3 linked regions of the Drosophila melanogaster genome follow. The protein of the gene in region 1 interacts with the protein of each later gene in a biochemical or structural test. Each region holds a gene or a part of one and is shown in the gene's direction. Other genes may lie near its edges.

Region 1 (3,756 bases):
ATTAAAATTGTGCTCAAGTGTAATGTTGTTACTACAAATGTCATTCACCACGAAAGCCGCAGCGTTGCCACATCAATTGATTTAAATATTACTTCTCAAAAAAAATTATCGATGTCAGTATTTAAATAACGATATCTGTTTTTATTTTTATTGCAAGCACAAATTTGTCATTCGAGAATTTTTCATGTAAATACGTAAAAAAAATAGAGAAAAATGCCTGCCTAACGAATAAAACTTTGTTTAGTCGTTACATACTGGAATATCCCTTGTATTATCAAATATCAGTTTCGATAGTTCGATAATTCACTACACGTATAAGAAAGACGCCGGCTGGAAGAAAAAGTAATATGTGTAAGCAAATGCAAGGAAATTACGGCCAACAAAAACTAAACTCTGAACCTTTGCAGCCGCTTCAGTGAGCAGTAAGAGCACCGTGGTATCCTCCATCATCTCGGGCCTCCTGAGCATTGTTTTGTTCGGCACACTGCGTTTCTGCTCAGAATGGTTTAACGACTCGCAGCTGAGGGTCCTTTTGGGCGGATACCTCTTCTCCTGGGTGTTCATCCTGAGCCTCACGTGCGTCTCCAACGCGGAGATGGTTGTTTTCGGCCAGGACTTCCAGGCCAAGCTGCTACCAGAGATTATTTTCTGTCTCTCACTCACGGTGGCCGCCGCGGGACTCGTGCATCGTGTCTGCGCCACCACCAGTGTTCTCTTTTCCCTGGTGGGGCTCTACTTCCTTAACAGGATCTCCACGAAGTATTACTCCGTTCAGGTGCCCAGCGTGGATGCTCCTACGACGAGAAAGGGCGGAAAGAAGTTCAAATGAACCATTCGTCTGCTTCTTATTTCATTACTAACACATTCGAATACCTAATCTTTAATAACCTTTAATAAATAACTAACTTATAAAGTCATGTCAATCGGTCACTTTGAAGCTATCCAAGCTCCATTATTACAGTTGGCCAGCCTTATACTACTGAGTATTGGTGCTGTGGAATAGGGGATCTTATTGGGAATTCATGAATTCAGTTAAAAAACTCCAATCTCTGGTTATATGGATATCGTAATCCTTTTCCAACAGAATCAAAACCTCGAACGCAAAGTCGTTTTCACAGCGTCTCTATTGCATGCCTTCTCGCAGAAAATGTATAGCTCCACTTTTTGGTTGCTTTTCAAAGCTGCTTCCAGTTGTTATAAAGTGAATTCGAACAAATAGATCAATCTGAAAAGTCGGTTTAGTTTGCTTTAAACATTTTGGATTTGTTTTGTCAACAAAAATTGCCGGCAAAGTGTGACCAGCTTGCGTTTTACGCGTTTAGTATATTTTAGTAATGAAATACTGCATATAATGGTTGCCTGCTGGTCAACGCTTTCGAGTATATTTTCAATAAAAACTTTTGAAATAAACTCAGCTGTATTTAACAATAACTGTTTAAAAACGATTGCATCATGCATTTGTAATTATACAGGGTGATGTCTTATTATTATCAAAGAAACTTTTAGATATTTATAGCTCTTTTCTGATAGTCTATTCGAGCGCTCTGGCAACACCCCACCTAGGCGCGCCTACAGACGTTACTGGCAACGCCAAATGAATAGCGTCGCGTCTTTTTTGTAGTTTAAAATTTTGTGGAGTTTTAGCGAAATAAGTTAAGTTTATTGTTGTCGTGTATGTAACTTCGTGAAGAATCCTTTTTTCAAGTTTCAATTGCAAATATGTAAGTTGCCACCGCGAGCATGCCATAGGCAAGAGAACATACAAACTCCGAGCTCACCCGTCTGTTTTTCAGGTCGAAGCCCCAGAACAACGACACTCTGGAGCTGGACGACATCCTAAGCCAGCCAGTGAAGGACAAGGAGCGCTTCGCCGCCTTTATGATGCGCAAGCTTGCCGAAAATAAGCCGGCACAGAATGACAATCTCTTTGGAAACTTCAAACTTGACTTTGACCTTGATTTCGAGGTTCCACTGATCAAGAAGTCTCAGGCTAAGCCCAAGTCCAAACTACCAGAAGTACAGCCCCTTGGGGAGTTGGTCAGCAAAAACAGTGCCGCCACCGAGAAAGTCAATGAGCCGCCTGTGGACCAGGCCCCCAATGAGAACGTGCCTCCGCGTCGATCGCCAACATTGTCGCCCAATAACCGACGTTCCATGCGCCGCAGTGGAAATGTACCCGGATCTGATAAACTACGTCGACATGCCATCCGCCGGCGGTCCAGGAGCTGTGGACGCCAATTGCTTCCAGAGTTTGAGGAGACCGTAAACTTGACCCGCAGCATATCAAGTCCTGTAAACTTCGTATGTTAAATACATGTCCCACAAATACCTAATCCTTGTACTAACAACAATGCTCTTTTAGTTACCAGAAATAAGCAGCACACCTTGCACAGAGAAACAAAAAGAGGAAGTTGCCAAAAATACAACAAGAGTGGAAACTGATAAACCAGCGGAAAAACCTATGGAACTATCACAAGAACCAGAGCCGGAAAATCCGCTGCAGACAAAGGTGACCTCACCTGCCAGGAACCCTATTCTTGCAGCTGAAATTGAACAAATCTGCAAAGAGCGACAGAGTTCCTTTCACAAGAATGTACTGCAGCTGGACTATTCTGGACGGGCACCGTACTCGCGACCCCCTACTCCGTCATCACCATCCGTTGCGGGCCTACGACGTACCTACACAATGGAAAAGGGCCCAGCTCCAGGCCAGCTGCTGCTATCGCCATCACATCGCTATGACACACCGAGCAAAATGCCAGTAGTTAAGGCAAAGCGGTTCAATCAGGAGTTAATGGTCCCGGACACGCCAGAGCGACAAAGTCACGACCCAGCCTGGCAATCAGAGCCCCAACCGGAGTTCGTAGTGCCGGAAACCCAGCCGCAGGATCTGGGAGAGTTGGTGCAGACTCTGTCGCGCAGCGCGATCAGCCCAATTGTGGTGATAAACACATCCAATTCGAATCGTAGTGTAAGAAGGGACGCTGTCGCAATGAAATCTGTTCCGACTTCGCCAGTTACGGCGTTATCTTCACCACCGATTGCGCCTTCTCCTAGGCGATCCGCCGCTGCCTCTCCCCAGAAATCCATTGCACAACTGCCGCGGGTGGAAGAAAATATGGATGCCATAATGACCGACGACGAAAGCGACGAACATCCCAGCACTGTGCCATTAAATCTAGCTCCTTCAGGTGGGAACACAACCCGGCAACGGCGTTTGCGCAGTAGTAATCGGGCTCGAGCTACAATCGAATCTCAGGAGAGCTCTATGCGCTTGCTTAACCTTCACAAGTCGGTCAATGCCAAAAAGTCAAAGCCGCGAAAGACTGCTATACCGCTGAATAAGGCTCCAAGTGCCCCCATTAATGGCGAGCAGTTTGCCCGCGAGCTAACCCGGATGAGCAACTACGAGATTTTGGATTTGCGCAAGCGCAACTCGTTGAACGAGATATATCCTTTAAATGGGCACAGAAACCATCGTTCAGAGAAGCTTATCCTAGAAGAAGAGATTCAGAGGGAGCTGCTACGTAGAAATCTAATGGATGAGGCCGAAGGTTTGCCAAAACAACAGTCCTCGGATGATTCGAATGAAGACTATATACCGGTTCCGCCAAAAACACAAAGTCTTCGAACTAAAAGCAATGATCGATCGCAGGGACGAGGGCGACCACGATCTACTCGTCGTGATCTTCCAATGGTAAGTTCAAGATCGCTTATATGTTGCGAAGGAAAAAAAAAACCTTTTTTCCCCGTTTT
Region 2 (3,673 bases), on another chromosome or scaffold:
TTTTCCTTATGTGCAAAAAACTTATGAGAAGCAAAGTTTTTTAAACATGGTATTTAACTATAATTATTGCATATATTATTCTTATAATTTATTCTTTTTTTTACTGTGTGTTAAAACTAACAAACAATATGAACATGATTTTAATATGTTAACTTGTTAATTTGAAAGTGCCAGAAATCTGCGGGTAGAATAGTATAGGTGACTGACTCTTTAGTTCCATGGAGCAACAAATACCAAGAGAATAAACAAAACGAACTATTTAGGTGTGTCTCTGAAATATCTTACAAGTCAAATTTGGTGTCATAGAAATTTTGTAAAAAGAATTGAGCAAACAACTGAGATTTTCAACAAGTCATGCCTATTGATTTGTTAATATAATATATATTTAAATTTTTAAGCAATACTATTTACAATTTGTTTGCTGACCAATTTGGAACTCAACACATTTACGTGAGAATTCAGTTCAATGTCAACGAACGCGTGCAAATAGCCGCGAAATATCTTTGGAATTGCTTCACTCGAAATAAACGCTAGAAACAAACGAAAAATACCTCGGCCAAAAAAGGCAAATAAAAGCGAATTTTTTCGCAAAACTGGAAATCTAAACAGAGACAAAGGAGATTCGTCACAATCGCCAAAGAACGAAAAGCAAAAGTTGCAGAATTGCTGAGAAGATTTGCAGACGGAAGAAGAAGAGAGCTGTTGTTAAAAAGCTGCAAATGCCAATGGGTTAATGAGGGGGAGGGGGGCAAAGAGAAAAGAAGAGGAGCAATGAAGAGAGGGGGGAGGCAAGTAGGTGGTAATAAGCTGCACCCAACCAACAAGCGAAACAACAACAGTTAGCTTCCATTTGTATTTTTCTCTCTCATTAGCCTCTCTTCGCCATTTCCTCTGCCTCTCCGTTTTCTACGTACCTCATCGATTGATGCTAAAAACTATGAATAAAATATAGGTTAGGCCTTTTCCTTATTTGTAAAAAGCCAACGAGCGTTGAACTCGTCTTGTAGCGTGGGAGTTTTGCTTTCGGAACAACGAAACTATTTTGTTTTGATTTTATCTCAGCGAATTATAATGAAATTTATGCACCGGTGTAACCGCGTGGAGATAAAAGAAAAAGGGAAGCAACGAAACGAAAAGAAAAGAAAAAACAGCAAATGTGAAAAACAAAACAAGCGACTAAAGCGATGGGCCAATTATAAAAACAACAACTATGCGACTCTGTACTTTAAGTAAAAGCCGGCATGCGTGCGAGCAAGCGAGAGAGGCAGAGAGAACAGGGCGGCAGAGCGAGAGAGAGCTAGGAATATTTCTGTGTGCCCTGGTGGTTGTAATAAAATGAAAGGAAGAAAAACTGTAAAACTCAAGCGCCGAAGCCAAAAGAACGATTTTGGGGGTGTAGTTAAAAATCACACTATATTGCTATAAAAAATCGGCATGTATTGGCGAATCTTTTTCTTAGAAATGTATTCAGGAAAACACAAGACCACACAACACACACACACATTGCTTTTAGCCTGGTTTATTTGCCTCGCAAATTCGCTTTTCATTCGCGTTTCCCCAGGCAAAAGATAAAAAAAAACTGTAGAAGAAAAACTCACCTATCGGGATGCCTTTGTTTTCCTTCAGCTACGAAGACTTTGATGCCACCGAACTTAATCACTTAACTTTCAATTGGTATTCAACACGATTTTGTCCGCCACTAAACACTGGCTGGTAAAATATTATTCAAAATATGTATAGCACAAACACACTAGAGCTGAGTTAAAATGCACAAAAGTTAGAGAGGAATTGGAAAATGGCGTATCACCCTGTCATCGATACCTGGACTATCGATATATGATGGTTGAAAACGGTGGTTTAACACTTATTCTTAAAAATACTGTTCGGTGGTATTTATTCATTTTGTTTGACATTGTAATGTAAAAGGCACATATTCTCACCATACCGCTGAATGAAATATATTTATATTTTCAACATCACTTATGTTACAAGGGACTTATGAGTAATAAGAGCTAGTGGAAATACCTCAAAAAAAAACCAATAACAGGGTTGTCACCATACTCTATAATTTCTATCGGCCTGGTGTTTTGCAGAAACTTGCAACTGGTCACACCAATGTGGCATTGTTTTGTTTTGTTTACAATTTGAATTTACTAACAAATTATTTCAATGGAGGATTCGGAAGCCGCATTTAAACGCCACGAGGGTGTGGGACCAAAGGTGAAACAGGCCTACGAGGAAGCCATTAAACAAATCTTTGCCGACTTGAGGTAAGCAGCAGGCATAGTTAACATGATAACGAATATTAAAAATCGTTAATATCTAGCTGCGCAGATCTGCAAGCGTGGGATGCCATTTACCAGGAGCACGAGCAATCCGCTCTGGACACCGAAAGCATCGTAGATCGCACTCGCAGTCTGATGACCAAGGTTGTGCTCGAAATGAACCGATGCTTTTTCGCCAGCAACGATGTGCCAAATAAGTTGCAAACTTTGGAAATGCTCAAGGAACATTTCGCTGCCTACGAGGGCAAGAAATGGTACATGTGCAGCATAAAACATAATACGATTCGATTGCATTGCTAACTCTACTCTACTCTATTGTAATCTATAGGAACGTGAACACTGCAGCACCCGATAAACTCACTCGGCCGCTGCGCATGCGATTTTTGGACTTCAGCGTGGAATTCATGGAGCAGCAACTGGCCTCTCAGGCAAAAGAACTTGAGGTGCGATTTGGATATTAGTTAATCTTTGTACTATTACTGCACTGTTTTGAGTGTACCAAAAGATCCCTAAAGTTAAAGAACCTTCGAGAAGATTTTTAGTTTAATAATTTCATTTCTATAGTTTATCATTTGCATATACATATGTACATATCTAGGTTTGTTATTCTATCAGTATAACTAACATTTGTTTATATTTCAATTACAGATTGCTATGGCCAAGAGCAATGCCAATCGCGAGCGACTCCAACATGTCCATGACAAGCGCCTGAAATTGACTGTCCAAATGGAGCAGCAATTGTCGCAGTACGAGAAAGTTAAGACAGAACTTATTAAACTAGGCGAAGCATTGAACGACTTCTGACAAACTTAAATGCAATAAATAAATAAAATACTACGCTATGAGCTTAATGATTTGAGTGGGGGGTCTTAAAATGGAAATTCATACAAACTAATCTGCATATTCATTAATGTACATACATATGTATGTACACATGCATTTGTCATTGACATTCACAATTTATTTAAATTCGTATCATTGCAATAAGCTCATAATATTAACGAGCAATTGTTTGTATTGGCGACAAAAAATCTTTTAAAATTGAATGTATATACATACATTTCAAGTTATCTCTATAAAGAATACGATAAATAGTACGAAGTTTTTAGCTAAACATGTGTAAACTTATGTATGTATGCATGTGTTTTTTGAGTGATTTCTTAGAATCGCTGTGTGCTTACACACTCCCATACATACATACTTGATTGCGTAGTATAAATCAAAGGAATGGTATTAGTGTAAAAAAGAACCGAATTTTTGCTAGATCTTCCTCAAAAAGTAACTAATAATATACATTTAAAGATGTTTTTTAAAAGATTCGTTTTAATTTCCCTTGTGAGACTGCACTCATTATACAGATTTTCAGTTATATTTTAAGGCAATAAGGA
Region 3 (3,631 bases), on another chromosome or scaffold:
CGAGGTCTGATAGAAGCCGAATTCGTGGCAGGTCTGATATGTCCACTGGCGCATTCCCTTGGCCGTCTCCGAGTCCCAGGAAACGTTCTTCATGTCCGCCACCATCTTGTCGTACTTGTAGTCCAGGCAGGTGGTGTTCGATTCCTTCAATAGCATATCGTTGACCAGGCCCAAACGGGTCACAGGTGGACCAGCCGTGGTGTTTAGCATGACATCGCAGATCTATGGAGTTCAAACATTCTTAGTATGGACTTGATAGGGATCAAAGTGAGGATGAAACACACGTCGTCAATGGTGATGGTGGCATGGGGACTGTTGTCCTTGTTGTATTGCACCACTCCAGCAAAGTTGCCAGCCAGATTCTCAAAGAAATTGGCCATGTCCAGGTCGTTTTCAATGGAGTCCTTGATGGGAGTGCATGTTCTGAGTATAAAATGGTTTACAAAATTAAAATTTGTGCAGGACGATAGCCTAATCCACTCACTTGAACTTCTCGTCCAGGCTGCGTTGTCCAATCATGTGCTTGAGTAGAATCTCCACTTGCGCAAAGCTGCGGGTCACGGCGTCCACGCATTCGGGCTTGTAGGCAGCTAGAGAGGCTTTGACCACCTCGAAATACTCCTTGAAGTCAACCTCAGCCAGCAGAGGACCACTGGAGCTAATTGAACCGTAGATGAGCTCGGGATACTTCTCGCGTGCCCAGGCGGCCAGCGATCCCGGATAGGAGCCACCGAAAGCGATCCATTTCTGGCCATCGCCCAGATTGAACTTAACCTTCATGGCGGTTACAAAGCTGGCCAAGTCCTCCAGAGCCTGCTCCGAGCTGAGATAGTGCAGATTTTCGGTGGACAGATCAGCGGTGGGATGGCTCTTGCCATAGAAACGATGCTCCAACTGCAGACACAGCGCTCCAAAGTGCTCGGCATAGTGCACCCAGGCTCCTTCGCGCATCCACTTGGCCGACGCCTCGCCCTCGCCACCGATCATCAGGAATACGGGTGCGGAGCTGTCATTCCGATAGAAGTCGGCATTCACAAAGTATCGCTGCTGCCAGGTGCGCTTATCGCTCGACTTGAAGTGATCCAATCGCTGCTCGAACCACAGATCCTCCGAGTGCAGGCTCCTTTGCAGGGTTGGAATCTTGCTGGGCTCCCCGAGGAATCCCTTGGTCAGCCTTCCGCGTCGAAATCCCATTCCGGAAATGGGCGCAAGCAGTCCCAGGAGCAGAAGACCCACTCCCAAGGGCCTCAAAACGCCCCCAATGAAAAGCATATTTGCTTCCTTTGTTTGTTCGGGTCAAGTAGAATTTGCCAGTAATTGAAGTATTTAATTAGTTGGAACCTCGCACAGTGCCTAACTGTAAATAGCGACTGAAGGAGAGTGGTGTGTTCTATTTATATAGGCACCGTTATGTGTGTCGCACTCTCCTGATTATTCAGTTCTCGCTGTATTATCTATATTCGCAAAGCCGGCAAAGCAAAACTAAAACAGTAGGGGCATTCATAGTTATTGATTTCAATCATTAATTGAATTAATTTAATTTTAAGCAGAGAAAGATTTCTGTATGCTGTAAGTGTTCTGGTAACTTTACAAAACTTAATTTAGCTTTTTATTTATTTATATTATTTCCTAGCTAGATATTATCGATGAGCTTAATAGCACCGTAAATGTGAACGTGTTTTGCAAAATTTTTGTCAAGTAATTAAGAAAAGTATACATTCTTGCATGCTTTGATAATTTCCATCTGCGTGTAATTTTAAATTCTCACTGAACTAATTTAATGGAAGTTTCCTGAATTTCAAATGCTTTAGGTAGCTTTAATAAACAACATATAGTTTATTTGAATTATTCCATATATTAGGTAAATATTATTGTGGAGTTTCACTGTGCCGTTAATGCGAAAGCTTAATAAATGTATTTGTCAAAAATTTTAGGAAATTGTGCATGTGTATGCGTTGTTTTTATATTTTTCATCTGTATAGTCAGTTATAAGTAGCCAAATTTAGTAACTAGATTTTGTAGCTAAGTATGGCAGCACTGTTGCTGTGGTAGCATCTCTTTGTATTCTGAAAACGGTAACACTAATTGCGCGACAATTTGGATTGTTTACGTTTTTATCCAGTTTAATTGTAATATAATTTAAAAAAAATATTGTTGTTAACTGTCATAATGGACTTCAATAGCCTAGCCTACGATCAGAAGTTCTTCAATTTCACAGCGGCACAGTTGTCTGCAGAGCGTGAGTGCTACATCCTTATATCTCTGGATCAGCGTCCTTTATCCATTAATTCCTTTTAAATAGGCGAACATATTGTGCAGGACATAATTAAGAAGGGTATTGGTCAGATCATCGACAAGATCAAGACACCCGCCACAGCGGAATTGCTGGAAGCCGAGAAGGAGACCGTTGAGCGTCGTTTCCAGGCATCCGCCTCCAAGGGCCTAAAAGCCCTCAGGGAACTGGACAGCAAAGTGTTCCACGTTCCACCGCATGTGCTGCATCCGGAGCACATGTTCGTCGAGAATCAGTATACCAGCGAAGAGGAGGAGCAGAAGACAGCCAGGTTGGAGGAGCTGAAGGCCAAATACAGAGAGGTAACTTGTAGAACCAATGGAAACTATCTTGTATGCCTCATTTTAATCATTATAATGGGGAAAAGGATGCTTTATTTTATGTTTTAATAATGCTAAATCACATCAATTTCAGAACATGGCCATGCTGGCGCATTTGAAGATCGAGGAGGAGAAGTACGCCGCCATGGAGGATCTCATCCAGAAGGAGATCGAAATGCAGGATCGCGTGCAGCGAAGCTGCTCCTCCCTCAACATCACCAAGCTGAAGCAATTCTGGAATCAAGTGCCCCTGCAGATAAAGAAGGAGACTGATTAAATAAACTAACTGGATCAAGTTTTTTAATCTACATTTCCAATATCTTCTTTCGAAACTAGTTTTAACCCTGGAGTCATTTATAATCACTAAGACTCTTCTATATTCCACTTTACCTATTATTATGTCGTTAACTTAGTTTTAAACTTAAAATTAAATTAAATTAAAATTATTATGAATCCGAAACACCTAGATGATTACTTACTAGTTTTAAACCAATTTACCTTAGCATTATATTAGTTCCTTTGACAACAGCGGCAACCAAGCAACGGTCGCTGTTTAAATTTTCCAACTGCCTTGTTTTCAAACAGAAAACAAGCCGGTTAAAAAGTTTCAAGCACAGAACAGACACAAAAACCCCCTTATATGTTACATTTCGAATCGTATATTTTGCTATAAGCCTGGAAAAATGGGAGACTCGCACGATGTCTGCAGGCAGCTGCTGCCGCGCGCAATCTTCGGCATCAATGGCAAGGTGGAGAATGGAGTGCGCCAGCATCCGGTCACGGGATCCATCATCTTTGCGCTGGGCAACAAAATCGGCATCGCCGACTACAAGAAGAATACGCAGGAGTTTGTGGCCGGACACACGAACACCATATCGTGCCTGGATCTCAGCAAGAGTGGCAAATACATGGCCTCCGGTCAGATCAATCACATGGGCTTCCGCGGCTATGTGATCATCTGGAATTACGATCAGCGCAAGGAGATCGCTCGCCACGATCTGCACAAGGTATCTGTGCA

The links.
Region 2: the proteins of Cenp-C (region 1) and Nnf1a form a complex in vitro, tested with the Drosophila melanogaster proteins (2 studies listed by BioGRID).
Region 3: the proteins of Cenp-C (region 1) and Mis12 form a complex in vitro, tested with the Drosophila melanogaster proteins (2 studies listed by BioGRID).

The regions. Positions count from the first base shown.
Region 1 is NT_033777.3:8,562,536-8,566,291, forward strand, and holds the start of Cenp-C (centromeric protein-C), read left to right. Parts: upstream 1-1,569; 5' UTR 1,570-1,719; coding exon 1,720-1,721; intron 1,722-1,793; coding exon 1,794-2,301; intron 2,302-2,362; coding exon 2,363-3,697; intron 3,698-3,756. Other genes in the region: CG31460 (uncharacterized protein), read left to right, coding at 348-351, 408-829.
Region 2 is NT_033778.4:20,585,670-20,589,342, reverse strand, and holds Nnf1a (Nnf1a), read left to right. Parts: upstream 1-2,104; 5' UTR 2,105-2,169; coding exon 2,170-2,270; intron 2,271-2,326; coding exon 2,327-2,539; intron 2,540-2,613; coding exon 2,614-2,728; intron 2,729-2,933; coding exon 2,934-3,089; 3' UTR 3,090-3,121; downstream 3,122-3,673.
Region 3 is NT_037436.4:6,967,473-6,971,103, reverse strand, and holds Mis12 (Mis12), read left to right. Parts: upstream 1-2,055; 5' UTR 2,056-2,169; coding exon 2,170-2,239; intron 2,240-2,302; coding exon 2,303-2,595; intron 2,596-2,707; coding exon 2,708-2,890; 3' UTR 2,891-3,069; downstream 3,070-3,631. Other genes in the region: CG9953 (uncharacterized protein), read right to left, coding at 1-222, 285-423, 485-1,272; CG10064 (uncharacterized protein), read left to right, coding at 3,297-3,631.